7 linked regions of the Canis lupus familiaris genome follow. The protein of the gene in region 5 interacts with the protein of the main gene of each other region in a pairwise test. Links are inferred from orthologs where the notes say so. Each region holds a gene or a part of one and is shown on either strand. Other genes may lie near its edges. The genes, in order: KIFC3, CCDC57, DHX15, CCDC33, ZGPAT, CDCA7L and LDOC1.

What was found.
Region 1: the proteins of ZGPAT (region 5) and KIFC3 interact in binary tests that used the Homo sapiens proteins (3 or more experiments, as listed by UniProt). The two-hybrid records come from large-scale screens. The link is inferred for Canis lupus familiaris from reciprocal best matches to the Homo sapiens genes ZGPAT and KIFC3.
Region 2: the proteins of ZGPAT (region 5) and CCDC57 interact in binary tests that used the Homo sapiens proteins (3 or more experiments, as listed by UniProt). The two-hybrid records come from large-scale screens. The link is inferred for Canis lupus familiaris from reciprocal best matches to the Homo sapiens genes ZGPAT and CCDC57.
Region 3: the proteins of ZGPAT (region 5) and DHX15 interact in binary tests that used the Homo sapiens proteins (3 or more experiments, as listed by UniProt). The two-hybrid records come from large-scale screens. The link is inferred for Canis lupus familiaris from reciprocal best matches to the Homo sapiens genes ZGPAT and DHX15.
Region 4: the proteins of ZGPAT (region 5) and CCDC33 interact in a two-hybrid assay, tested with the Homo sapiens proteins (2 studies listed by BioGRID). The two-hybrid records come from large-scale screens. The link is inferred for Canis lupus familiaris from reciprocal best matches to the Homo sapiens genes ZGPAT and CCDC33.
Region 6: the proteins of ZGPAT (region 5) and CDCA7L interact in binary tests that used the Homo sapiens proteins (3 or more experiments, as listed by UniProt). The two-hybrid records come from large-scale screens. The link is inferred for Canis lupus familiaris from reciprocal best matches to the Homo sapiens genes ZGPAT and CDCA7L.
Region 7: the proteins of ZGPAT (region 5) and LDOC1 interact in binary tests that used the Homo sapiens proteins (3 or more experiments, as listed by UniProt). The two-hybrid records come from large-scale screens. The link is inferred for Canis lupus familiaris from reciprocal best matches to the Homo sapiens genes ZGPAT and LDOC1.

The regions. Positions count from the first base shown.
Region 1 is NC_049223.1:57,969,509-57,973,751, forward strand, and holds the start of KIFC3 (kinesin-like protein KIFC3), read left to right. Parts: upstream 1-1,411; 5' UTR 1,412-1,426; coding exon 1,427-1,592; intron 1,593-1,641; exon of another isoform or gene 1,642-1,699; intron 1,700-2,276; exon of another isoform or gene 2,277-2,395; intron 2,396-4,243. UniProt on the Homo sapiens protein: Minus-end microtubule-dependent motor protein. Involved in apically targeted transport. Required for zonula adherens maintenance.
Region 2 is NC_049230.1:968,766-972,561, forward strand, and holds part of CCDC57 (coiled-coil domain-containing protein 57), read left to right. Parts: intron 1-1,124; coding exon 1,125-1,226; intron 1,227-2,599; coding exon 2,600-2,757; intron 2,758-2,871; coding exon 2,872-2,946; intron 2,947-3,796. UniProt on the Homo sapiens protein: Pleiotropic regulator of centriole duplication, mitosis, and ciliogenesis. Critical interface between centrosome and microtubule-mediated cellular processes. Centriole duplication protein required for recruitment of CEP63, CEP152, and PLK4 to the centrosome.
Region 3 is NC_049224.1:86,154,868-86,158,663, reverse strand, and holds part of DHX15 (pre-mRNA-splicing factor ATP-dependent RNA helicase DHX15), read right to left. Parts: intron 2,483-3,796; coding exon 2,047-2,482; intron 1-2,046.
Region 4 is NC_049251.1:37,851,900-37,855,695, reverse strand, and holds part of CCDC33 (coiled-coil domain-containing protein 33), read right to left. Parts: intron 2,102-3,796; coding exon 2,010-2,101; intron 979-2,009; coding exon 858-978; intron 1-857.
Region 5 is NC_049245.1:48,102,509-48,106,941, reverse strand, and holds the start of ZGPAT (zinc finger CCCH-type with G patch domain-containing protein), read right to left. Parts: upstream 3,061-4,433; 5' UTR 3,003-3,060; intron 2,809-3,002; 5' UTR 2,785-2,808; coding exon 2,192-2,784; intron 1-2,191. Other genes in the region: ARFRP1 (ADP-ribosylation factor-related protein 1), read left to right, coding at 3,560-3,652, 3,781-3,868, 4,022-4,104. UniProt on the Homo sapiens protein: Transcription repressor that specifically binds the 5'-GGAG[GA]A[GA]A-3' consensus sequence. Represses transcription by recruiting the chromatin multiprotein complex NuRD to target promoters.
Region 6 is NC_049235.1:35,878,806-35,883,090, reverse strand, and holds the start of CDCA7L (cell division cycle-associated 7-like protein), read left to right. Parts: upstream 1-1,413; 5' UTR 1,414-1,457; coding exon 1,458-1,505; intron 1,506-2,676; coding exon 2,677-2,817; intron 2,818-4,285. UniProt on the Homo sapiens protein: Plays a role in transcriptional regulation as a repressor that inhibits monoamine oxidase A (MAOA) activity and gene expression by binding to the promoter.
Region 7 is NC_049260.1:112,048,985-112,052,382, reverse strand, and holds LDOC1 (protein LDOC1), read right to left. Parts: upstream 2,131-3,398; 5' UTR 1,984-2,130; coding exon 1,540-1,983; 3' UTR 716-1,539; downstream 1-715. UniProt on the Homo sapiens protein: May have an important role in the development and/or progression of some cancers.

The sequences.
Region 1 (4,243 bases), on a different chromosome or scaffold from region 5:
AGCTTCAGTTCTTTTCCAAGCGTTCAGGGAACGCTTATTTCAGGGCATTCACCTATCAAGGCATTGCCAGGGGTTTGGTGTGGGTGTTGTTCCAGCTCCAGGCTGGTTGGTATAGGGCTGCACAGATGAATGTGCACGCACACGCACCTGCCATGGAGAGCCATAGAGAGTCGGGGGGATTGGACACTGTTCGAATAGGTAATCTCTACTGTCTGGTGGAAAGCAATCTGCAACCCAGGTAGCACCATTAGGAAGTTCTTGGGTGCCTCAAAGTCCATTTTAAAGCCAAAAGCAAATTCCACATTGCCTCTCTGAGCTGACTTGGCTGCTTCTGTTAATAGCATCACTGTCTGAGTCTGGGACTGTAGCTTGGTACTTAAATGCCCTCACAGCTGCTTTACACATGATAGGTGTTCAATAAAGATGTGTGTAAGGAATACTTAAAGTCTGTTCTCTTCATCTGCTCAGTTCATGAGAAACCTACGCAGCTTGCTTTCTTTCTTTCTTTTTTTAAATATTTGTTTCATTATTTTAGAGAGCACAAGCAAGAGGGGCAGAGGGAGAGGGAAAGAGAATCTCAAGCAGGCTCTGTGCTGAGCATAGGGCCCCATGCGGGGTTTGGTCTCATGACCCTGAGATCATGACACAACCAAGAGTCAGAGGCTTAACCCACCACACGAGGCAGGGGTGTTCTATCCAGGCCGGTGCTCCCCACCCCCAACTTCATTCTCCCATACCACCTGGTGCCTCCCTGCATCCTGTTCTGATTGTGAAGGTTTGTTGAAGTGCTTACCTCCCTCCTGACAGGGAGCTTTGAGGCCCTATCTCTCCTGATCAAAGAGGACCCCTGGCAGGTGCCTGGCACAAAATAGACACTGGATAAATAATTATTAAATGAAGAAGCAATGAATCTTTGTATCTTACTGCCTGCCAAGTTGTAGGCACAGAGTGAAGGCTAGTTGAATAGAATGAGTGGACTTTAAGAGAATTTGATCTATATAAGCCACTGTGTCACTGGCCACAGTCAGGCCCCGTCTGATTAGAGTTGCTGTCGACCTGTGCGTCCTGTGTGTGGGGCTGTGACCTGGCGCATCTTCAGGCTGCCAGGCTTCCAGCCGAGGGGCTGAGATGGGAGGTCTCCGCAGGGTGCAGCTGACACACCGGGTGGTCTCTTCACCCACTTCTGAGCTTCCCTACTTGGGAAAAAGCCCCCTGAAATGGTGAGGGGCTGTGTTGGATCGCGCAAGGCCAAGGATCGCTGCGGGGGGGGGCGGGGGGCTGCCGCTGCGGGTATAGTGACCCTGTTGCAGGCGGCGGGCTCCCTCCGAGCTGCCACCCAGGTGTCGTCGGTCGCCGGCTCAGCCTCGCCTCCCCGTTCTGTCCGCAGGCCGCCCGGCGCCCCGAGGAGGCCGCTGAGCCCCGGGCCATGGTCCCGTCTCGCCGGCCGTGGAACCTGGGAGCCACGCCCTCGCTGCGCGGCCTGTGGAGAGTGGGCCGGGCCCGCGCGCCCGAGCCGGGGATGGCTCGCCCCGCCCCCGCCGGCCCGGCCGCCCGCCCTTTCCCATACACCGGCCCGGGGAGGTTGAGAACTGGTGAGTCCGCATTTTTAAAATGCCTCTTTATTTCCCTTCCTTCCTCCAGATAGCAGCGATGGGGCCGGGCTCTCTCGCAAGTTCCTAGGCTCGGTCAGGGCTGTCAGGTAATTACAGGGTGCCGGCAGCCCGCGGGCCGGCCGAGTGGGAGTCGGGGCGCCAATCTCGCCGGCGCTCCTGCCCGGCGCTCCTGCCCGGCGTCCTGCCCGGCGTCCTGCCCGGCGTCCTGCCCGGTGCTCCTGCCCCGCGACCTGCCCCGCGTCCTGCCCGGTGCTCCTGCCCCGCGACCTGCCCCGCGCTCCTGCCCCGCGTCCTGCCCGGTGCTCCTGCCCCGCGCTCCTGCCCCGCGCTCCTGCCCGGCGTCCTGCCCCGCGCTCCTGCCCGGCGTCCTGCCCCGCGACCTGCCCGGCGTCCTGCCCCGCGACCTGCCCGGCGTCCTGCCCCGCGCTCCTGCCCCGCGCTTCTGCCCCGAGTCCTGCCCCGCGACCTGCCCGGCGTCCCGCCCCGCGCTCCTGCCCGGCGTCCTGCCCCGCGCTCTTGCCCCGCGCTCCTGCCCCGCGCTCCTGCCCGGCGTCCTGCCCCGCGCTCTTGCCCCGCGCTCCTGCCCCGCGCTCCTGCCTGGCGTCCTGCCCCGCGCTCTTGCCCCGCGCTCCTGCCCCGCGCTCCTGCTGGTGGAGAGACGTCCCGGGCGCCGAGTTAGACCCCGGCGCGGCCGCCGAGCGGGGGGCGGGCGGGGGCGCGTCCTTGGTCCCCCGCCCAGCTCGCAGTCTCGCTCCGGTTTGTGCCCGCAGCTGGTAAACAAGGTAGGTGAAGTGGCTGCCCCGGTGCCCCGTGCGGCGCGGACACCTGATCGCGGCGGGTCAGACCGCTGGGGGCGCGAGGAGGAGCCGCGGCGCCGGCAGAGTGTGGGTGCCCTGAGCCGGGTTTCAGGTGCTATGTGGGGCGGCTCCCGCAGGGTGGCCCACAGCAGGTGGGGGCAGTGAAGGAGCCCACCTGGGATGCTGTCAACACCAGCTCTCCTTTCTGGGTCGCGTCCCCTGGTGCCTCACAGGCCAATAAGTGAGCGGCACCTCTGATTTGCCTGTGGGCTGGGTTGTCGTTGGGTCTGGGCAGTTGCCCCACGACTGCCTCCTGAGGTGAGCTTGGGCAAATCTATCTGGAAGTGTGGAGGGAGAGAGGGTCTTCAGTCCAGATGTCATCAGACGCTTGCTGTCTGTTGTTCCTGACCTAGAGAAAGAGGTTTAGATTACCAGCCTGTCTGAGCTAGCAGAGTTCCTCTGGCTATCAGATCCAAGCCCCCCTGGTACACAGAAGGGGAAACTGAGGCCTAGAAAGGGTACACAGCAGACTCCTGTTCCGTCTCCTCTCCCACCACATTTGTGCCACTGGTGGGCACCAGAGTGATACCCTCCAAAGTGTCTCTGCAGGGGACAGTGAGGCTGGGGATGGCACTGGGGGCCTCTGGGAAAAGCATAGGCTTTTGGGTCAGGTAGCCTGAGTCATCTGGAGGGGGATGAAGACGGTCTCTACTCCACATGGTTGTCCTAAGGATTACATATGTAATATGAATGAGTATTACTTTTCTGGTTAAACAAAAAAAACAAGACAAAGAAAAAAAAAACAAGCAGAAGACAAAATATGTTCCCTTGGAAAACTAGAAAAAATAAAAAAATAAAACCCAGAAAAGTATAAAAAAGAAAATAAAAATCACCTATAAGCTTGTTAGTGAACATCTTATGTAGTTCCTTCCGATCTTGTATATGTGGGCATGCATATTGGTCTATTAAATGAGTATCATGAAGATTATATGACCATACAGGCTTATCTGCTTTTAAAATTTAAGACAAAGGTCAAATGAAATCGTGTGAAATGCTAAGCAGAGTGCCTAACAGTGAGTAGGGCTTCAGCCAGCTTGTCACTCCTAGCCCCTCAGCCCCCACCCCGACTCTTGCCTCTGTCTTGGGAGGTATAGGCAGAGGGTGAGTTAGCCCATGGGATTGCAGGACTGGCTCAGTGTGACCCTGGGCACGGTTTTAACCCTCCCCGGTCGTGGTCCTAATGGCCTGCACTTATGGCCAGTTTCTGTGTGCCTGGTGGAGAGTGAGCATTTTAGGTGTGTCATTCCATGTAACCCTCAGCACAGTACTATGAGCTTGGTTCCTTATCCCCATGTTATTGATAAAGGAAACTGAGGAACAGGCAGGGCAGTAAGCACTTGGCCGGCTGCTGGCACTCAGGATACTGTCACACCCCCATGAGGCTGTACTCATTCCCATCCCATGCTACCCTGCAGGCTGTGGTGGGGGTTGAAGTGGGTGCATGGGATGTCCATACCATGATCACCTCTCTCCCCTGTCCAGTGAGGGAGGCAGTGGGTCAGAGGCTCGAGGGGATGCACTTTAGCTGGTGCTGAATATGCTTTTGGAGGCTGCTGGGACCAGGCCACCCAGCATGGCGTTGGTCTTTATGAAGTCAGGGGAGAAATTGCCACCTAGAGGCGGCCTTGGTAATAAAGCCACAGCCCTGGGGTGCTCCTCCTGTGAAGTTTAGTGCAGCCAGGTTGGCATCGGCTTCCCTTTGCTACTCTCTGGAGAGGGAGTTCATGAGCAAGTGTCAGCCCAAAAGCCACTGTGGAGGGTGGGGAACACATG
Region 2 (3,796 bases), on a different chromosome or scaffold from region 5:
GGCGCCGCTGCTCAGCGGTGTGGGCGCAGGGCCCTCGCGTCCGCACACACAGGTGGAGGGGCCTGCCCATCTGGGCTCAGCGGGGTCTCCCGGAAGTTACTGGAGCACGCTCTAGCCTGGCCAGGGCCAGGGGCTCGGCTTTAGCCACCTCCATTCCCTTCTGAGTTCAGGATGGGGGAGCCAGGAGATGGGAGCTGGACTGGCTGCCGGGAGAATGGGGGCCCAAGCTGAGCAGGCGTCCCGACGTCCCCAAGATCGGTGGCCCCAGCACAGGGCCGAGCTGGTGGCCTCACATCCCAGAGTGCTCCGCAGGAGCCAGCGGGTCCAGGCCAGCCAGAGCTTCCAACCCCAGGGGGAGGCCGTGGGGGGTGTGGCAGGCAGCAGAGGCTCTCCCCAGAGGAGGGGGCGCGGGAGCCCCGGGACACGCGGGGAGTGTGAGGAGCAGCCGGGGAGACAGTTGAGCAGTAGCCCCGGAGAAGCCAGGCCGGAGTGTGGAGGCTGAGGCCTCCGGGAGCCATGGCCCAGGACAGGGGTCCCACTGCCCAGGTGGACGCCGTGGAGGAGCTTGGGGGACCGAGGTGGAGGGGCTGGGGGTGAGCCGCTCCAGGAGAAACAGCAGGCTGTTGGTTGGTGAGCTTTTATCGTCACAATAACCTATGGAATTTCTGGAGTCAGCCTGGGGGGTGAAGCTCAGAAGACTGCCTGCTTGCAGAGCCGGGGCCCAGAGCCGTGGGATGGGGCTGGCCTCCAGGGCCCGTCCCCGCAAGGACACAGGCAGGGCGCCGTGGCATGTGCATGGCGTGGGGAGACCCAGCCCAAACTGTTGAAAGCTGTTGCGGTGCTGCCCCCTCACCGCGGCCTCCGTCCCAAGCCCCCAGTAGTGCACAGGCCCCGTGGGCGCCCGCAGGACCCAGTGGCACCACCGGCAAGGACACAGATCGCGTCTGTGGGGGCACCCGGACGCCGCGAGAGCCCCCCAGGTTTACGTAGACAGCATAGACCACGTCCCCAGGGTGAGTGTGGCGCCTCCACCACCAAGGACCTGTGTGCCCCGCTGGCCTCCGGCCCGCCCGCCCGGCGGTGGCAGCGTCCGCCTCCTCTCACCGAGAGCCCTCTTGTTTCAGGAGCTGCAGCTGGAATTCGAGTCTGAAATGCAGAAGAGGGAGCACGGGTTCCGCCTGCAGGCTGACGGCATGAGCAACGCGGTGCTGACTCAGGAGCTCAAGGTGGGTGGGGGCTACTCCCTTCCCTGCGGACATGTCCTGGGGGGAGGGCCGGGTTCACGCAGAGGCCTCCCTTGTGGCACCAGGGTCAGGGGTGACATGCCTGAGGAGCGCCTGCCACCGTGACCACTACGTGGCTCCTCGCACGAGTGACGGAGGAGGGCTGGTGTCCCCGCTGTGCTTGACCCAGCCTTGGGGAAGGGCCCCCACCCGGGATAACCTCCACCCAGCCCTGGCCAAGGCCTGTGTCCTCTGTGAGCACTTGGAACGGCCTCTGGGGAGGTGCTGCTCGACCGCCATTTCCAGCAGAAGAGGCCAGGCCAGGTGGTCAGGGCCATGTGCGGCTGTGCGCCAGCCACGGTGCTCGCCACCCCTCATGGCTTCTCTAGTGCACTAGCCCCATGCTGCCAGGGCACATGCGAAGGGCGCTCATGCCTGACCTTTAGCCTGGAGATGGGTGGCGAGGGTGGGGGTGGCCTTGAGGGAGCCCGAGGTTGAGCAGGGGAGGAGGAAGCAGGGGCGGACACCTGGCCGGGGCCCTGCTGCCCCAGTGGCTTGCACCTGCACGGGCGTCCAGCAGATGTCAGTAGGGAGTGCCGCGCTCACAGTCGGGGTGGGGGGCCCTCCCGCAGGCCGCCAGCCTTCCTGCAGCGCCACAGTCCAAGGGCAGCACACGGCCAGCCCGAGGCCCCAAGATCCCGGGCCATTGTCGTGGTCAGCGTGCTGGGTGGGCAGCTCGCAGCCCAACCTCACCTCTGCAGGGCACCGCTTGTCGTGGAGCGCCAGCCTGTGTCCTGCCAGGCCCCCGCCTGGCCCCTCTGCACAGGCACCCCTGACCACACTCCCCCTGCCAGCCAGGGGCCAGGCCCAGGCTGCCCCACGGCGACCCTCAGGAGGCCACTCGAGGACTTCTGAGAGCCGAGGGGAGAGGGCAGCTGGGTCGTGCAGGGCCGTGCCCTGAGCTCACAGCCGGGTGGGCACTGCTGTGAGGGTGGGGCTGGGGACACGCAGGGCATGGGCGCTGGTCCACCCCCTTCTGCGTGCCAGGCGGCTACAAACCCCCAAGAGCCTTCTCCCTGGAGGGCTCCACGCAGACGTCAGGGCCGCAGTTCACATTCGAGGAGACTGAGGCCGTGGTCTTACACGCCCCACCTGCTTGTGCGATTCCAGTACCTGAGCAGTAGTCACAGAGCAGCCGGGACCGTGTGTTGCCGCGATAGGCTCATGCACGCGGCCCCGTCGTGGGTGCAGCCGGGGAGCCGTGGTGGTCAGGTGGGGACTTGAGGACGCCCTCACGGTGTGCTGCTCTCGAGTTGTTTTCTTCTCTCCGTTCAGCCCCAGTGCTGTCCTCATTTTGAGTTCTTTATCTCTGGAAGGTGAAACTGCTGAACAAGGAGCTCGGGGCCCTGAAGGAAGCTGCCGCCCAGGCCGCAGAGTCGCTGCGGGGTGCTGAGGCCGCCAATGCGGGGCTGGAGGAGCAGCTGCAGCACAGCCACCAGGAGCTCAGGGACCTGGCCGCCTCCAAGGACGCCCGGTGCGCAGCCACACTGCCGCCTCGGGGCTGGGGGCTTCCGCCTGGCCCGGCTTGCTCCAGGCCGGCTGGCTGTGGGCCCGTCTGCTTTTTCTGCTAATGTTTCCTCCTTTTCAGGATAAAGGACTTGGAGGGCAAACTTAACTCTGTGCAGCTCTCCAGGAAGAAGGAAGAAGAGGTCTTCAGGAGGAAGTGAGTGTTCCCGGCTCGTGGCCTCGCGGCCCCGGGGTGAGGTCCAGGCAGAGATGCCCCCCGACCTGCGGCCATCCGGCCTTTCAACTCACGGCTTTGGGTCTCCTTCCATGATCTGTTCAGGATTCTCAGTGGTAGTGAGGCTTTTTAGTGTGTTAAAACTTTTTCAAAAAATACATATACATTCTTAAGGTTTTAAGTCACCTGTACACCCAGTGTGGGGCTTGAACTCACAACCCCAAGATCAAGAGTCATGTGCTCCACCGACTAAGCCAGCCAGGTACCCCAGTGTCTTAAAGCTTTTGAGCTTAAAAGTCTGGTTAACCAGGGGCTCCTGGGTGACTCAGTTGGTGAAGTGTCTGACTCTTGATTTCCACTCAGGTCATGATCTTGGGGTCATGGGGTTGACCCCGTATCTGGCTGGCCCTGGAAAAGCAATGTTCCTCTTCATGTCCTCTTCTAGAGCCTTCTTTTTTTTTAGTTTATTTAAGTGATGTTTCCGTCCTGTGGGGCTCAAACTCACAACCCCGAAGTCAAGAGCCACACACTCCCCTGACAGCCATCCAGGTGCCCTAAAAGTGTTTTTATTTGTAAACTGAAATCGTTGAAAATGAATATGATTTTTTAGCATATTATAAATATTGGCATTAAGAAGTAAAACTGTCAGGGGCACCTGGCTGGCTCAGTCAGTAGAACACATGACTCTTGGTCTTGGGGTTATGAGTTCAAGCCCCACACTGAGTGTAGAGATTACCTAAATTTTTTTAAGAAAAAAAGAAAAAAAAGAAGTAAAACCATTCAGTCCCCCCCCTTTTTTTTAAATATAAGATTTATTTATTGAGTGCCTGGG
Region 3 (3,796 bases), on a different chromosome or scaffold from region 5:
GTCCTTTCCACTTGAGTATCCCAAATTCAAGAAGTTCAAAACCATTTTGCACCTTCCTCCAAATACTTATTAATCCCTCCCACGTCCCCTAAGATTAGTAACTCCACAATCTACTGTTTATTCTATTACCTTATACAGAGTCAAATTTTGCTATGATCTCCTACAAAGTCTGTCGTCCATATACAGAGCATACAGAGCTTTCTCTTCACCAAACCTGTGCCCCCGTTCACACTCAACTGGCTTTAGTTTCTTATATATGGATATAGCATGAACATACCATATTGCAATGTGGGATCAAGTCCCACATCGGGCTCCCTGCATGGAGCCTGCTTCTCCCTCTGCCTGTGTTTTTGCCTCTCTCATGAGTAAACAAATAAAATCTTTAATAAATAAATAAAATAAAGCTGTTCAGCTTCCCTTTGAACCCAACTGCTCTGCAATCCTAGGTACACAAAAACAAACAAAAAATACCACAAATATTCATCCAAATAATTACAAACCTCTCATTTTGAATTGACTTGACCATCTGCATTAACTGCTACTAAAGAAACTCATCTCTGAAATAAGGTTAACCACATAAGACCACAGAATAGCAGAATGAAATAAATATAGCATTGGCTATAAACAATAGCCAATGGGACAAAGTTCTTAATACTGAGCCCACCTAAATCTACTATGCATAACCACGGACAACCCACTAAAACCTCTAAGACTCTTATGAATCTAAGGCTCATTTTGTTCATCTGTGAAATGGTGATTAACAACTTCCTTGTAAGGTTGTTGACACAAATAATACATACAAGGGACACAGTGCCTAGCTTTATCCAATAGCTAATTAAATACTATGTAGATAAACTAGTTGAAATAATTCTTTTAAATACTAAATAATTCTTTAAAATAAGTTTAAAGTCGTATCTTTTCACACATTAAACTTCCATAAGGTGATAAAAATAAACCTATCAGTTTCAGTTCCTAACATCAATACTAGATTTTCGTTCAGTTATGAAGAAAAATCGTATTCAGTAAGGCTCAGTCTTTCAAAACTTCTTATTCTGGTTGCCACTGTAGCCTTCAAAATGTCTCCATGATATACTCCAATCTAGGTTTGTGGCATATGAAACTTAAATGGTAACTTGCGTATGCAGTACATTCCATTATAAACTTGGGTCACAGGTACATAAACATGGAAAATAAGCCAGGAAGAAACACAGTACAGTCATAATTTCTACATGGTAAGACAAGTTATTAAATTCATTTCGACACTTTCCAGATTTTCCAAATTTTCTACAATGGCCAAGGACTGCTACTTTTGCAATCTCTTAGAAATTTGTGACTGGTCAGGCTCAAACATATGGGAAATATGGTTAACACCTCACTCATAGCAGGAAATGCAAATTAAAAATTATGCTGATACTACTTTTCACATATCAGATTCGTAAATATTCTAATTCCACAGTATAGTCTAATGGATCTACTTGCTCATGAAAAACAACCATCAGAAGCAGCCTAGAGATCGATAACATGGGACCAGTAAACAATGGCTCATCCATTTTTGGAAAATATCCTAGATATATTACTAACAAGATAGTGTTTACTTCTAGGCCAAGTGTAACTAGATGGATGTGGAGGTCATGAATAAAGAGACTTTACTCAGCTCTTCCATCTTTTTAAAAAAAAGGATAATTTTCACATGGTTCAAAACAAACAAGAACAAAAACAAAACTATCCCAGTGGTTCCAAATTTCTACTCAGAGCAATAGAATACTTGTACCTCCAAATTTGTACCACCCCAGAGTCAAAGTGATCAGAATGCATCATTCTGCCATATTTAACATTAACAAAACAGCACTGCTATATTCCCCTAGACTCAGGAAAATAGGCACTCCCTACAGGATTCCCACTCTGTGCACTACAAACATCAAAGTAGCTAGTCTTCAGGATGTTCTAGGAGACAGACAAGGCAGAAGGACTTCCAATCAAATAAGCAACATTTAGTAAATGTAAACATTAATACGGTATGTACTGTGGTACACAATAATAACTCACCTGTGTTGTTTTACCAGACCCAGTCTCACCAACCAGTACAAAGGACTGATGCCTAACCAGAATATCTGTAAACCTATCCTTGTATTCCCAAACAGGGAGCTGAAGCCGTTTCTTTAGAATATCATAGTATCGAGGAGTATGGGGTAAGTTGGTAAATGGATTAATGCACTGTGGAAGTGATGTGTGTCCTGCATGTCCTGTGTGTGTTGAATGAGCAGAATGTGTCGAATGTGTTGAATGTGCAGAATGAGTTGAGTGAGCTGAATGGGAAGCTTTTAAAGGTGGTAATCCAGCACTGATAAGCATAGCATTAGTCGAAGCTCGCAATTCCTTCTCCTTTTCTTTCTCCCTTTCCCGCTCTCTATCTCCTCTATCACGTTCTCGGTCTCGATCTTTAGACCGATCTTCACGATCCCGGTCACGATCTCGATCCTTCCTAAAAATAAAAATTTAGAATTCAGATTCTGAATTTTACGCAAAATGTTCTTGGCAGTGTTATAGTCACAAAGAACAAGAATGTCTAACCACCAAATGAATAAACCAATGAATTATGTAAGTATCAGACATAATGAAAAAGACCTTATAATCAAGAATTCTCCATGCCTCACCCATAAATCTTTTTCTTTCCTTGATGAGACCTCAAATTCTCTTAAGGGACCATCTCTTTCTACACCTTTAGCCACCAGCTGTTGTTACACAAGACTCGGACTTGACTGAGTAAAGTAAAACCCCTTCCTACTTATTTAGACAGTAGAAATTAAAGACTGAGAGTAAGGTGGGGGAAAAGGAGGAGAAAATAAAGCAAGAGGGGGATATGGGCATCACAATTTTCCCCAGATTCTCCCTCAAGTTACATGAAAAGTTATTTTTTGCACTGAAAGTATGTTCAAAATTCAAAACTGCTTCTGGACACAAGGACCATTCTACTTCACATAACAGTAATACAAACATGAGTTAAAGGATTGTAGGTGAGTTCATTTTCAAGTTATGCCTTAAATCAGTTTCCCAATTTTGTTTTATAAGCATGTATTTGTCCTATTAAAAAAAAAAAACTAAAATTAAAACACTTCCTTTTGTTTTCATTGTTTCCTCTTGCATGATATCCTTAATAGTAACTGCAAAACTCTGTAAACCTATGTATACTTTGGACATCTATCAAGTGAAATATAACCACTAAAAAAACAAGCTCCACTGAACAATAGTAAGTTGTCTTAAAATGCTAAAATTATGCAGACGGTCACTATACTAAGCCTAGGTCAACTTTAAGTACTCAGTTCTAGTATCTACTTCCAGTTAGCAGGCATGATTCCTAATACAATAATAATTTTTAAATAAGCTTCAGACCAATTCCTATAGCAAACTTCTACAAGGTATTTGGACCCAGACTTGAAATAGTTGAGGCAATATAGAGCTATGAGACAAGCCACTGAACACCTCAATATTCCTTATCCATAAGACACAAAAGGCATACAAACTTCCCATGCACCAATTATCAGTAGCTGAGTAGGAAAAACCATTCATTCCCTATAAAAGCACATCAGCAGGACAACAGAAACCCCTTGACAGAATACAGCTAAAATTCTAGAGACAGCAGGAGTTAGGATGGCTCCCCAAATACAGAAATGTTAAGCAGATCAATCTTATTTTCTTTTGTCCTCGCTAAAATATAACTGTATTCCACAGGAATTTAAAGTTATTCCATATATACACATACATACACATTTCATATATATACTTTCATATATCCACA
Region 4 (3,796 bases), on a different chromosome or scaffold from region 5:
GTGGGGCAAACTCCAGCTGAAGTAGAGACTATGGGAAGAGACGGACCCGGCCACTCCCTGGTACCCAGCCGCAGTCTGCACACCCCTCCGCCACGTATTCAGACACACCACTCACTCTCCCCTCCGGCCCTGAACATGCATCTGTCTTGTCCTGTGCACCCCAGCTCCACTCCCGTGCTCTTGTTCCCTATCGCCCTGCACAATCCCTCCCCTATTAAACACTCAAGAGTCTTGTGTCTGGATACCCGCTCCAATCAGCCAGGCTTCACGTCCCTCTTGCCTCGAATTAAAATTTATTTTTTGTTGTGGCAAAATGCAGACAACATAAACTGTCCCGTTTTAGCCGTCTTTAGGTGCACAATTCAGTGGCATTAAGTAAATTCACAATATTGTCTAACCATCACCACTATCAATTTCTAGAACGTTCTCACCAGCCCAAACAGGAAACTCTGTACCTATGAAACAATAACAGCCCCCCCCCCCCCAGTCCCTGGCGAGCACCCTTCTACCTCCTGTCTCTGCGAATGTGCGTACTCTAGGGACCTCCTATCAGCGGCTTCAGACATCATTTGTCCTTCTCTCCTCTGCCTTTTACAGGCCTGACAGTCCCTCCTGGTTTGTTACTAGGTCACCCACTACCTGTGTGGGCGTGTGACCCTTTCATGTGCGTGAGGCCTTCTTCTTCCCTGGACCAAGGGCGCCCTGAGGGCAGCTCCTCCACAGCACAGGAGGCTTGGCTCTGGGGACACAGTAAACCCCTTAGGGGTCAGGGGAATAGCCCAGCGAGGGAGCCAATGAATAGACACGTGGGTGGGACACTGGAGGTGCACGGGGAGGGGGGGAAGGGGGGACCGTACCTGAGGGCACCCGTTCTGGCTGCCCCGAGGAACGTCGAAGCGCATCATGGATGGGTTAGGGAAGGAGAGGCGGGTGATGGGCAGCCCCACGGAAGCTTCGTCCTGCTTTATCTGGTTGACCCTGGGGAGGCAAGGAGACGGTCAGCCCACAAGTGCCGCGGGTGGCTCAGGCCTGCAGGAGGGCGCAGGGCTCTGGACACCAGGACAGGTGATGGACCCTGGTCCTCTGATCACCGGCCCAAGGCGTGACTCGCTGTGGCCTGGCCACATCTGACTGCCCCAGAGGCCCCATCTTTAAAAAGCCCTGCCATTGGAAGTCCTTGCCGGAATGACCCACCCTGGTGGTGGCAGTTCTAGTTTAGGTCAAGGGGGACCTGGAGGCTGCAGGGGCAGGGTCCAGGGTGTGTGTGTGAGCAAGTAAGCGAGCGAGCGAGCAAGCGTGTGGCCATGTGCCTAGCTCTTAAGAGGGCTGGGAGGGAGTGTATCAGCTTCATTCCTTCAATAAGCAAGGAGTGTTCACAGGTCAACAGATGGTGTGGCGCAGTCCTGTTGGGCCAGAAGAGTCAGAGGAAGTGACAGAGGCAGACAGCTGATCCCCAGGAAATGGAGCTGTCACACAGGGCCCATGTGCACCGGGGGACTCCCCACGCTGTGTGACCCTCAGGGGCCACGCTAGCCCAAATACCCTTCCTGAGGACGGCAAATCCACCAAACCCCCAAAGGTGGTCTGGGGAGGAGGGGCACGAGTTTGGCTGGGGCCAGGAGACCTCAGGAGGGTGAGGGAGAGGACTCACAGGTGGGGCTAAAGGTCATGAAGTTCTGAGCGGACCCACAGGCTGCCTTCTTTGGGAAAAACCATTGGCTGGAGCCTTGGTCCTGCGCTGGAGTAGGAGGGGGGACTGTGGGACGGGAAGCAGGTGTGGAGGGCTGAGGACCTCCTGCAGGGAGTTCTGAGCCGCCCCTTCCCAGGCAGGGACTGTGGGCAACTTCCTGAACCTCAGACCCCAGTGGGAGGTTTGAAAGGCCTTGGGGAGGGGAGGGTTCTAGGGCTCCTGGAATCAGGGCCTGTGGTGGCAGCGACAGCCCTTCCCCTCCTCTGTCCTCTGCCGGGCCCGCCCTCTCCTTGCCCACACCCGCCTGGGCCCCACTCACTTAAAATCATTGTAGTTGGGAACCACCCTGGCAATGACCACCATGGGGTCACGGTTGTTGACCAGGGGCTCATTGACTCCCCGGAGAAAGACCTGGGGAAGAGAGGAGGCAGGTGAGCCTTGGGTGGCTTTGAGCCCTCTCGGGGACAAGGCCAACCCGCCTGCCACCTTTCTCCCCAGTAATGAGCTCATCCCTGCCTCCATCTGCCTCACTTACTTCCTTCTCTGCTCAAAGCTGCCCTCCTTCAGGCCCTGACTAGGCCTTGGGAAGGCAGGGGTAGGACACGGATTCTGTCCCCCATATGCCTCCACTGCCCTCCCGAGCGACTCCTGATCTGGCTCCTGGCCCTCACCCCTTATCCACCAAATGGGCTCCCACTCACCCCTCAGCGCTCACCCCAACCCCTCAACTGTGAGTCCTGTGGCTCCTCTTACTTCTGACCCCATCACTGGCCTCTGCTTCTATTTTGCCCCCCAACCCATCCCCTTTCCCCAGCAATTTAATACATGATGGCAAAAACTGCTTTCGTGAAAAATGAATTAGACCGTGTCATCCCCCAGCTTGAGACCAGCAGTGACTCCTCCCACTGCCCTTGGAATGAATTCCACAATTGTTACCATCAGGGCCAAGGCCTGCATGTGTTGGCCTGTCTGCCCTCGGCCCCCAAGTCCTCCCTTGCTCCAGCCTCACACGTCTCACCCCTCCAACCTGCTCACTTGCTTCTGCCTCAGGGTCTTTGCACATGATGATCCCACTGCCTAGACTCCCCACCCCCACCCCCGCCCCAGCAACTCAGTGGCTGGCTCTCTCTTCCCTTAGGGTTAACCGTCACCACCTCTGGGAAGCCTTCTGTGACCACTCCTGCCAAACTAGCCCACCCCCTTCTCTTAGCCCCCGACCACCTCTTCCTCGGCACTCCTCATAGCCTGTGTTCACTCTAACTTCTCTCTTTTCGTGTTCTGTCCATCTGGCTGGAACCAAGTCTCCAGAGGGGCAGAGACCATGTCTACCTCAGTCACTGCTATGTCCCCAGCTGTTAGCAGACACACCTGGCACAGAGTCAGAGCTCCGTGTGTGTTTCCGGGATAAATGAGCTCCATTTATGAAGGAGAAAAGTAGGGGACCGGGCAGGGAGAGGCTGTGTTTGAGTGTGAGAGAGACAGAAGCGCTGACAGCTGGGAGGGGAGGAGGAGAAGCCAGGCCTCAGGGAGGGGCTGGGCTTGAGCTGCTCTTGGGGGATGGGTGAGGGTCCTGATTACGGGGTGCTCTTGGGAAGGCAAGCAGCGAAGGAAGGGGCTGCGAACACAGCTGAGGGGCCACTCAGGAAAAGCTGGGCCACTATGTTACCGAGGCTGGTCCCCGCTCCACTCTGGGCCTGAGGATCCCAGCTCAGACCCTGAGGGGTGGGACGTTACTGTGCTGGTCCTCCTCGCTCTGACCTTCATGGGGAAGAGGGCACCTGGGACTAGGGGCTTGCTCTGGCTCCTCTCTCCTCCTCCCTGCGCACTCCCTTCTAGGCCCCTCTGCCAGGACCATCTTAGCTGGTAGCTCACAACTCCCCACACGTGTGAACTGATCAGGCCTTAAAAGAGGGCTTAGGAAAAGGCACCTGGGTGGCTCAGTGGTTGAGCGTCTTCCTTCGGCTCAGGGCGTGATCCCGGGGTCCTGGAATCGAATCCCACATCGGGCTTCCCCACAGGGAGCCTGCTTCTCCCTCTGCCTGTGTCTCTGCCTCTCTCTGTGTGTCTTTTATGAATAAATAAAATCTTTTTTTTTTTTAAGTGCTT
Region 5 (4,433 bases):
TAATAAAAGTCCAGAATAGCGGTCGTTTTGGAGGAGGGAGCAGGCTGCATTTGGTTTGAGGTGCACGGAGGGGCTTGGGGGTGGTTGGCAGATTTGCAGTTGTGAGCTGAGTGGTGACTGCTCGGGGTTACAGGAATCCCCACACTGTGTACTTACTTCCCACGCCTGATTTTACTTTACAACAACGTAAAAGTTCACATTGACTGTGAGCTTACAACCTGTGAGGTACTACTCTAAATTCTCTGCACGTGGTAACGCATTCCATTGTCCCAACAACTATGAAAGACAACTCTCGTTTGTTTTACAGATAAAGAAATTGAAATACAGACCTTAAGCTATAAAAAATGAACGAAAAAATACTGTATCTCACTAGGAACCAAGGAAACACAAATTCAACCATGATCCCATTTTCCCAGCGCTCAGCAGGCAGGAATCGGCAGTGATAGAGAGGATGAGGGACGAGGCACCGGCCTTCATACGGAAGCGGGAACTCTGCACACTCTCGACACACCGGTCCCATACTAGGGAAATTCTCAGGCAGGTACAGAAGAAGACGCTACTAAGATGTTCACAGCAAGCTGTTTGTAACAGACAAAAACTGGAAAACATCAGAAAGGAACATAATAAAATGTGGCACATTTGTGAGAGAAAAGAACATAGCAGTTAAAACCAATTAAACAGCTCTGGAGATACCAGCACAGATGCCCTCTCACATCCCTGCTTAGTGAAAAAAGCAAGTTGCAAAATAAACCATCCTGTGTGACACCATTTGTTTCAAAAGTAGCACAAAAAGTTACTCTTCTCATATAGGCTCCTGTCTGCGGAGAGCTAACATCTGCTAGAGGTAAACACAAGGGAGTTGTGATCACAGCCTGGGAGGAGAAGGGGCTGTGACACAGCTATTTTTAAAAATACAAAGCAGGGGCGCCTGGGTAGCTCAGTGGGTTACTGAGCTAAGAGCGTCTGCTCAGGTCCTGCTCAGGTCCTGATCTCAGGGTCGGCTCCGAGCTGAGCAGGGAGTTTGCTTGACATTCTCTCCCTCTCTCCTTCTGGCTCTCCCTACACGGAGGGTGCATACTCCCTCCCTCTCTCTCTCACAAATAAATCTTTAAAAAATAAATAAAATAAAAATGCAAAGCAATGCAAGAAAAGCGTTGATCTGTCTGGCAGTGGCAAGTGGCTGTCGTAGGCTGTGCCAGTCGGGCCTATAGCTAACACAACAGAGCAAGGCACAGCAGTTGGGGGCCGAGGCAAAGCTAGCCTGTGCCCGCTGCAGGCTCGCTCGTGCCGCCGTCTGTGCCAGGCAACCTTAGCCGTGGTGGGGCCCACCCCTGGGGCTTGCTGCACGGAGGGGTCAACACACGTGAAACTCCTGGCCCGGAGCCTGGCCTAGAGGAACAGCACACGGACACGTCAGCTCTCATCGTCACAAGGGGCATCACCCGGGCCCGTGGAGGCACCCAGAGGGTAACGGCAGAGAGGACGAGAGGGCTTGCTGGTCTGTTCTCTGACCTGTTTGTTCAGCAGCACATGGATGGGTCTGCTTTGTGAAAACTCCAGTACGTTTCATGATTTACGCACCTTCCCGTACGGGTGCCACACTGTAATCAGACTTACAAGGAAAGAAAGGATTGTGGAAAATCGTGTTAAAGGACGCTCTGGACCCAGCAACGGTCCGTAAGCAAAGACAAAGACCAAAGGACTAGAGAGAGTTTCCCTGGGTTATTGACTCAAAAAGAAAATCATCTGCAAGACTTGGTAAACATTCCTTCCACAGATGGAAGCGATAAGGAGCAAAAGCCGAGTCGGGCATTTTAAGGAAAGAGTGACACCGTTGCCACAGTCGTGTGAATCTCATCATGAACAAGATCCAACTTACGGATTTGTCAGGGATGCGACCCTTGAGCATCGATTGATGAAAGAAAAAAAAAAAAAAGAAACCAGTGACTTCTACGGTTTCCTTTACACGGTGCAGGCAAACAAGAGGAAGACAAAGGAGAGAGCAAACACGAGCCTGGCAAGGAAGGGCTGATCAGCGGCGAAGGGGGCAGCGGGCGGCCCCACGCCGGGCCCTGCGGGGCTGCGACACTGCATTTTGCAAGCTTCCCCCGAAAGAACCAGAGCAGCGAAGGGTGGGGCACCGTGCCTCCCAGGACGGCGCGGCCTACCTGCGCCCCTGCCCCGGACTCACCTGCAGCTGTCCTGGAAGCGGCACTTGCCCTCCAGGAAGAAGGGGCAGGGCTTCAGGGACTTGTGCGTGGGGTAGAGGTAGAGCACCCGCACGCCCGCAGAGCCGTCGCGCGCCGCCTCGGTGCCCACGATCATGGCGTTGTGGTACTCCAGCGTGCCCCAGGAGCTGTAGTACGGCGCGTTCACCTTGCGGCCGCTCAGCGCCTCCTCCTCGTCGCCGTCCTCGTCGCCGGCCCGCTCCTCCTCCCCCTGCCCGGGCCCGCTGGGTGCCGGCTCGGGCTGGCGCTCGCGCTCGGGAGCCGTGTCCGGCGCGGCCCCGGGGGCTGCGGGCGCTGCGGGCCCCGCCTGCTGGGAGCCCCGGCTGTCGGCGTCGCCCGGGGCCGCGCGCTCCCCGTCCAGCGCGGCCAGCAGCTTGCTCTTCCGGACGGACACCAGGCTGGCCTCGGTGAGCTCGATGAGCTCCTGGAGGTCGCCGCGCAGCTGCCGCAGGTCGGCCAGCTCCGAGGGCTCCAGGCCGGCGCCCAGCGCCAGCTCCACCTGCTGCAGCTGCGCGTCATAGGTGTGCAGCGCGGCCTGCAGGCTCTCCTCGTCCATCCTGCGGCCCGGCGGGCGGCGCGGCTGCAACGACGGGGAGCCGCTGAGCGCCGCGCCGCCCCCCGCCCCGCCCCGCCCCCGCCGCGGCCCGGCCCGCTCCGCCCGCCCCGTCGCCTCGGGCCCCGGCCCCGTCGCCCCAGACCGCGCCCCCTCGCCCGGGCCGGGCCCCGCCTCCGCGCGGGCTCCGGGCCGCCGCCATAGAGCCCCGCCGGCCTCACCGGCTAGAGCGGCCGGCGCCCCCGCCTCCGCCCTCGCAGCCCACCGGCACTTCCTCCCGGGCGCCGCCGCCGCCGGAAGTGCCTCGCGCGGGGGACGCCGGGACGCGGCGCGCGGGGAGCGTCGGGACGGCCCCTCCCCCCCGCGGCCTGCGTCCCGTCGGGCGCCGCGCGAGGTCAGCGCGGGGTCGGCGCGGGTCGGCGAGGTCAGGCGCGGGCGGCTCCGCGGCCCCGACGGGCGCCAGGTAGCGCGGGCCGGTCGCCCCGGGGCGGGGGGGGCGGGGCGGGGCCTCGGGGGCCGCACCCGCCGTCGGGCCGCGACGCCCGCCGGCCGCCGCCTCGCAGCCCGGCTTCGGGGGGGGGGGTTCGGACGCCGCCAGGGGCTCCCGCTGCGCGGCCGCCGGGCACCTGCTGGGGCGGGGGCGTCGTCAGCCCGGGGAGCCTGACGTCACGGCGGGCCTTCGGGGGCGGGGGCGCGGGGGGAGGGGGAGGGGAGGGGGGGGAGGGGAGCGCCCCGGCTCCCAGCCCGCCGCGACCGCCGCCTCCGCTGCGCAGGCAGGATGTACACGCTGCTGTCCGGCCTCTACAAGTACATGTTCCAGAAGGACGAGTACTGCGTCCTGATCCTGGGGCTGGACAATGCGGGCAAGACGGTGGGTGCCCGCCCCCGGCCCTCCCCCTCCGGGCGGCCCCGCCCGCCCCCACGCGCCCCCCGCCCGCCCGGGACGGACACCGGACACCGGGGAAGCCGCCCTCACCTCCCGCGCGCGTCTCTTCGCAGACGTTCCTGGAACAGTCGAAAACCCGCTTTAACAAGAACTACAAGGGAATGAGTCTCTCCAAGATCACGACCACCGTGGGTCTCAACAGTAAGGCCCCCCCCCCCCCCCCCGGGGCGGAGGGCTTGGGGGGCCGCCCGGGCCGCCTCGGGGAGCCCAGAGCCGCCCGTCCCTGGCCTGGCCGGGAGGCGGCGCGTGGCAGCGGGTCCCCAGCCTGTGCTGTCCTCTGTCCTCTCCCCGCAGTCGGCACTGTGGACGTGGGAAAGGCTCGCCTCATGTTTTGGGACCTGGGGGGCCAGGAAGAGCTGCAGTCGCTGTGGGACAAGGTAAGCCGGCCGTGCCCAGGCCGCCCCTCGCACCGCTTCCTCCAGGGACACCCCCGGCCCAGCCTCCCCTCAGCTCCGTCCCCCACTGTGTCCCTGAGGCTCCCCCCAGCCCTGTCCCAGCTCCCCCGTTGCCCCCACCCTCGAGAGCGAGGACCTGCCAGTTCCCTTTTAACTCAGAGATTTGCTTCCGATGAGTACAGGCCGAGACGAGAGGTGTCCAGGAAGCAGGTGCGGGCAGGCAGGAGGCCTGTGGGTGCTGGGCTTCAGCGCCGGGGCCTCCTCCCGGGTTCTCCCTCAGGACCTGTGCTCTGCGGCATCCTCCTCCCCGC
Region 6 (4,285 bases), on a different chromosome or scaffold from region 5:
AATATTGTGTTGGAGAAGAATGCCAGCTAATACATGAAGAACGAATAGAATTTGAAAACGACCATTGTACAATCGCTAATGTGTGGTAATTGATTCAAATAAGAGTTATCTATCAGTGGATGCTGAAACCACTCAGTGAATTGGTTAATCACCAATTAACCAGGGAAGGATAATCCCAGAAGGTCAACTATCACCCTACTTATTTCTTACTAAATACAAAGAGGAAAAGGTCTTTTTGCTAAGGAGAAATATGACACATCCTGCCGTAACTTGATCAGAGAGCATCACCACTGAAGACCAGAGATGGCCAGACATTAGGTGCTTTCTGAGTAAAGAATGCAGCACTACCTATGAAGTAGTCATCTTGCCAGAAAGAAGTGAACTTGAATCTGACAGCCTGTAACTCTAAATACCGAATCACAGGAAATCCCAGGAGATGTTGGAGTCTACTAAATACCATCTTGCAGCTGCAAAAAACAAACAAAAACCCCAACCTTCCAGACTCTCGCAAACCTCACAGTGAAAGGACCCAGTTTTTTAAAAAAATAAGTTGCCAAAGGAAAAAAAAAAAAAGGATCCATAAGAAAAGACTTTTCTGTTGATCAATGTATGGACCTTATTCAAATCATGATACAAATAAACCGTGAGTTTAAAAAAAAAAAAATAGGTTGACGGAACTGTGAAGACAGACTATGTATTTCCTGATGACACAGGGTGAAATGCTATTATCTTCAGTTGCTTCAGAATAATTTGGAAGGAGGGCAGTTGGATAGGGATACAGCTGGAGCAAGACTAGCCATGGGCGCAGGACTGCTTGATAGCTGGTCCCTGTGTGTGTTCACTATGCTGTTCTACCTACTTGGGATTATGTTTGAAAAATTTCATAATTACGTTAAAAAACACTACTAGGGGATAACTTGTTATTTTGTGCCTCCTTATGCATTGCATTGAGAAGTGCATGTCATCTGTATAGAATTGTTGCCAAAAATATTTCAGTAAAGTATATCAGTGACCAATGAGATAAACTCAGAACGTATGACATTCAACAAGGCAGTAGTCTTGGGTTATTTAAGTAATATCAGTGTTACGAAAAGCAGCAAAAAACAGTGTCATAAAAAAAATAAAATGCATGATCTTTGCTTGAATGGGTCCCTTTAGCCCCCTTAAAGTTAAAAAAGACATTTTGGGACAGTTGTAGACATTTAAATATGAGCTTGTATTGAATGATACTATTGAATTAATGTGAATTATTTTAGGTATGATTGTAGTTTTACGGATCTAAGGGGAATGGGGAATGTTTTTATTTTCAGGCGATGTGTGCTGAAGTATTTGAGGGTGAATTAGTATGATGTCTGCAATTTAAATATAGGTGGAATAAGCTGGCTCGTACTAAATAAATGGCTATTTCTTTAGGTCAAAAACTGTGAAATACTAGCAAATGCTGATGGTTCCACTTAATGTTTGTTGACAGAGAAAGCAAAGGTGGTGACACATGGGGACTCCAGGTAAAGAATATGTAGATGGTTGTCCTATTCCTTCAGCTTTCCATGTTTTTTTTTTTTTTTTAAGATTTTTTATTTGTTCATAGAGACACAGAGAGAGAGAGAGAGAGAGAGAGAGAGAGGCAGAGACACAGGCAGAGGGAGAAGCAGGCACCATGCAGAGAGCCTAACGTGGGACTTGATCCAGGGTCTCTAGGATCATGCCCTAGGCTGCAGGCGGCACTAAACTGCTGCGCCACCAGGGCTGCCCGCTTTCTATGGTTTTGAACTTGTTCAAAATAGAGAGTTGGGAACAAATAGGTAGTCAGCATATGAAAATGAATTCTGAACTAATACATACATACTTGTTAGATTAAGAGCGCTGATAACATTCCTTCTTGGAATACTTGCCTACAGTAGTGTTTACATTCTCTTGAAATTAATTTTGAAACTACTTGATTGAGAGGAAAAAAAGGAGCAACAAAGCTACTTATTTCAATGTATGAGTTTTCATGTCTGAATCAGCAGATGACAAAGAGCAAAAAAATCAAAGACCAATAGGTGGAAATGAGGAAAAGAGGAGCTTATTAGTATCATCTTATTTTGACATGGATGACATTTAAAGATTTTCTTTTTTTTAATTTTTATTTATTTATGATAGAGAGAGAGAGGCAGAGACACAGGCAGAGGGAGAAGCAGGCTCCATGCACCGGGAGCCCAACGTGGGATTCGATCCCGGGTCTCCAGGATCGTGCCCTGGGCCAAAGGCAGGCGCCAAACCGCTGCGCCACCCAGGGATCCCGACATGGATGACATTTAAAGACAGATCCACTGCAGGAGAAAAATAGTTGTTTTCTCACAAATGATGACTGTTCCTTTATTTTTTGTGTAGAGATCACATAGGGTTTCCATCTAGATATGGCCTTGACATTCTCTGTAAGATAGGATATATCTCTAGAGTTTGAAAAACAGTCTAATCTTTCCCTCCCCTACCTTCTTTTGTTGCCATGAGGGATCAGCTGAAGCACATTTTGCTCCGGGGTAACTGGGGTCTTCTTGGTGACCATGGCAGATCTGCGACCTAGTAGATTGATAGAGCTAGTAGATGCTAATCCCTCCTCCTTTCTAGAAAATTTCCCTAAGTGATTATAACAGCCCTCGGTCTTATCCTTCTTCTTTTTTGAATCCAAAACAGATCCCTAAAGAAGTGGCTGACATCTTTAACGCCCCCAGTGATGATGAAGAGTTTGTCGGTTTCCGAGATGATGTTCCCATGGAAACCCTCTCATCAGAGGAGAGCTGTGATAGTTTTGACTCACTGGAATCAGGGAAACAGGTACAGATGCTTCCTTTCATGGAAGGCACGGTCTTCTGGAAGCCTGGATCTTGGTTCAGATATTCTTTTATTTGAATATGGTCTGAGATTGGTGATAGCAGTTAATTGTCGAGCATTTTATTTTATAAGTGTTTTGCTTCATGTTTTAAGAACCAATGAGGCTACCTAGATCACTTTTACTGTTTAAGCCCTTTCTATAATAGTTTTTTTTTTTTTTTTTTAATAAAGAGGGCCTCACATGATCAGATCTATTTCCTTTGTAACCTCAGGGCTTGCAGCCTGTGTCCAGGCTGTATTCAGAGTGCTCCCATGTGGCTGGGAGGGGAGAGGTGGTCCTGCACAGCCACCGTCCACACCGCAGTGCCGTGCAGGAACGTGTGGTTACCACGAGACAGTCGTGTCCCTGTGCTCCTATAGCGGGTTTCCATTGACACCCTACTCTTGGAATTGCCGGGGAGAGCCTTATTCTTTCTTGGATTACTTTGATCTCTGGCAAACACAAATTACGTTTCTCTGAGAGTTAGTTTCCTGGAGGTTTATATTATGCCTTAGCAGTGGTATGGCCAGTCGAAATAGCTAGCTTTCTGTAGCATTTTCTTCTGCATTCATTGTGGCTCTCAAAATTCTTCATTCTCCCTGGACCGTAGCCTCTCTCAAGAGGCTGTAAATTAAACCCACCTTGCTTCAACTGGGCAAGTGTAGGAGGTTCTAGAAGCACTTTATGATACAGTGTAAGTGCCTGCTTGATCACTTGGCTGCCTGTGTGTTCCAGCCTCCTCCTGCAGCTCCCCTGATGCTCATGGCCCTTACCTTAGTTACAGCACTAAGGTCTGGCCGTGAGCTTTGCCTTACTCAGAAACCATTTGAGCATGGTCAGGCAGTGAGGGAGAGTAGAGCCCGTGGACCCGCCGTGAGGGGCATTCTGAGCAGCGCAGCATGTGTGTGAAGAGCTGAGCCTGGAGCCCAGCAGTGCAGTGGGCATCCAGAAACAAAACAGCTTCCATATCTTGGCTGTTGTAAACAATGCTGGAATAAACGTAAGTGTCAAATTAGTGTTCTGGTTTTCTTTGCGTAAATACTCGCTAGTGAAATTACTGGATCGTAAGGTAGTTCTATTTTTAATTTTTTGAGGATCCTCCCTACTACTGTTTTCCACAGTGGCTGTACCAGTGTGCGTTTACACCAGTGGTATGTGAGGCTTCCTTTCTCTCCACATCCTCACCAACACTTGTTTGTTGTCTTTTATTTTAGCCATTCTGACAGGTGTGAGGGGATACCTCATTGTGGTTTTGATGGGCGTTTTCCTGATGATTAGATAGGGAAGCAGCCTAAGTGTCCATCAATAGAAGAATGGATAAGGAAGATGCTAAATATGTGTTCAGTGGAATATTAATGCAGCCATGAAAAGGATGAGGTTTTTGCCATTTGCCGCAACATGGAAGGACCTAGAGGGTGTTAAGCTAAGTGA
Region 7 (3,398 bases), on a different chromosome or scaffold from region 5:
TGCCTCGGAGCCCTCCAGGCCCACAAAGAGGTCTCAGCATAGCCCAGATAGCAGTACAAGGTCTAGTTCAGGAGACAGTCAGTCTCCAATTTCCATAGGCAGGAATCTGGGACATATGTATGGGTGGGGATTCTAAGACAGTGCACCCGGGGTGCTGAAATGTTAAGATCACGCTCTATTTAGTATGGGTTCACTCACACAGGATCCAGGGCTTAATGTCAGTTCAAGCACCTGAAAGGGGCATTAAAACAATATGCTACGTAGTTAACTGAAGTCTGAACTCAACAGCGCCCCGCGGGCAACAAGACTTAAGGGACAGAATTTCTCTGGCAGTGTTGAGTAAGGAATCCAAAGGCTCAAGAAGATAATAACATTGTATGTGTCCAGATTTATGCCTGTTGTCCTAGTCTAATTATTAACAGTGTCCCCCTTTAACTCTCAAGTGTCCCAGTTTGGGATGGTGTGCCACCTGCTCAGCCACCCCTTACCCATGCCACCCTGGAGGCCCCAGAGGACACTCACTCCTTTTGCCAGGGCTTTAAGAAATGCCTTGGTGAGGAGAGTACCAGAATTCCTAGAAAACCCTGTGGTAGTTGTCCTCTGTAGCCTAGAGATGACAGTGGCGAATACTGGGACTGAACTAAGTTCCCTGACCTCAGGGGGCATAACGGGAGTCAGAGTGAGATTGGAAGAGGCCAATGATAGCACTTAACCATTAAAAGACACTCCTTTCTTTATTTTTGTAGTGCTTGATATTTATTGAAAAGAACGTAAATGCTTTTTTCCAGGTGGTATTGAGGAGCTGGGCTGAGTGCCTGTTTTTGTTTGTTTGTTTTGTTTTTAGTATTTCTGTCCAAATGCACACATCTGTTGGGACTGCTGCAGTTTGGAAAGAAAAAGGACAGCTGTGCAAAACTGGTGCATAGGAGAAAAGAAATGTCAACAATTTGGCTGCCAGGCGCACTAGGCCCCTGCAGCAATCTGGTGGGGAAGGGGAGGACCCTGGGAGTAGGCAGGGAACTAACCAGGTTGAAAGACTGGCCCCTTCAGGGGCTGGTGAGCTGTCCAAATCAATGTCCAAGGACATAGAGCCAACTCAGGCATCTTCTAGGTTGGTCCTTATTTTCAAAGGCTGTGTTCTGTCGCTGGAATGTGGTGGACGGTGGTGAAGTGGCAGCGTAGGTCTCTGGGCAGATGGAGGCCTTGCAGTCGGCAGGGCAGGGCTGTGCGTGGTCTGACCAGTTTGTAACAGGGGCCTGCCCTATAGCTGGGGCTCAGGACACAGTCCAAATCAGCAGGGGAGGGCCCCGGGGCTGGCCAGAGTGGGTGGCGGCGCGCTTCCGAGCGAGGCCCCAGCAGCAGGTAACCGGAACAAAGGCAAGCACTACAGGGGGATGACGGAGAGAACCGGAGAGCTGGGGGTAGGGAAGGGGATGGGAGGGCGGAAGGGCGCTGGGCGGCTCCGGGCCGGGCAGGAGAGGCGGGGGAGAGGATGGCGGCGTGCAGGGCCCTCCCCCCTGGGCCCGAGGGTCTCCCGGCCTAGTAATCATCTTCCTCGTCGTCGTCGTCGTCGTCTTCTTCGTCGTCATCCCAGCCAAAACACTGTTTCATCTCATCGAGGAAGGCCCGGTAATCACCTAGGATGGGGCTATCCATCTCAATGTAGGGCACCACCCACTCCTCGGCTTCCCCGGTGAGCAGGCTGATTAGGAATGCCACCTTCATGGCGTCGTTGCAGAATCGGTTCTCGTTGACGAGCATGTAAGACGCCGTCTGCACGATAAACTCGGGGAGCCGGGAGCTCTCGCCGCTAAACGTTTCGGGGAAGGGCACCGGGCAGCTCGGCGGACGTACCTGGCGCAGCAGGGTGGCCCTCTCGCACACCAGCAGCCGCAGCTGTTCCATGAGCTGGCTGTTCTCGATGCTCAGGGCGCGGTGCCGCATCAGGAGCGCGTGCAGCAGCAGCACCAGCTCGTCCACCATGGCGAACGGCTTGCAAGCGCAGGGCTGGGCTCGGCTCAGGTGCGCACGGAGGCCTCGCAGGAAGTGCGTGTCCGCCGAGGCGCACGGTGGCCAGGGGCGGAGGGCGGTGCGCGCTGGGGTCCGGCTGCTGCGCAAGCTCCGCCCGCACAGCCACTCGGGCGGCCGGCGCGCCGGCGCGGCCCGGGTCGGGGGGCGTGGTCAGGGCGCTGCCGGCGCCGCGAGGGGGCGGGGCCGGGGCGGGGCCGGCGGGCCGGGGGCGGGGCCGGGGGCTCGGTCCAAGGGAGGGGGCGGGCGGGAGCCGGGGGCCCGCGGCCGGAGTTCCCGAGGCCGGCGCCCGGGAAGGGCAGGCTCCCGCGCTAGAGCCCCGGATGTGCGCCCCGGGACCGCCAAAAGCCAGCTCAGAGAGGGCCAACCTGCTCAACTTTAAAGGATCGGTCACGCTCGGACTCAGCCGACTCACACAGTGCGGGGCTCCTTGGTGGGTCTGTGGCTACGAGATTCCACCTGCGCGTTTCGGTGACACACGTCCTCGCTTATTGAAATCCCACTCACCCAGGGAACTGCTGGCGCTGCGGCCTGCCCCGCGGGAGCCACGCATCCTTTCGGAGTTGCGAAAGACCCTTCCTTGGGGCTCCTCTTTGAAAACAAAACAATATCTAAATGGGGTTTTTTTTTCTTTAGTTGGGAAACAATATTGTATACCTACATCCTTTTTTAAAAAGTATTTTTTTCTAAACAGTCAAGTATAAAAACTTCTGCAAAAGCACCACTGGAGAACGATTTGCAGGCTCTCGCCTCTCTTTGACCCTCTGTTTCATGTCCTGTTAATGCCCCTTGGCCCTCGGTCGCATGTTGTTTGTTGCTTAACAATGAACACTTGTGTTTTTAAATGCTTTGGGCTTTCTACTTTGAACTGGATTATTTAAATCGTTGAGTCCAGGACCCTAGAGCTGAAATTTTGTTGGCTCTGCTTTTAAAATATATCCCCAGATCAGTCACTTCTCCCACTATACCACCCTGATCCAGCCTTCCTTATCCCACCCAGACTGCTGCAACTGCTTAGCTTTCACTCTTCTCTTCCTGCAGTACACACAGGAGTCCCTCCTGATCCACGGTTTTGCTCTCCGGTGCTTTCAGTCACCCGTGCCAAGGGTGGTTTGATCCGGAATCAGCTGACCCTCCTTCTGACCTGGCACCAGAAGATCAACCAGTAGCCTGGCGTCGGATCACTACGCATTCTATCATCTCACGTCATCACAAGAAGGGTGAGTACAGGACAGTAAGATACTTTAAGAGATATTTTGAAACTTGCATAATAGTTATGTGTTACAAACATTCTATTTTATCACATGAGCTAGTAATGTCTTAGTGTGCCTAACTTATTTAAATTGTATCAAGTACGTATAGGAAAAAAT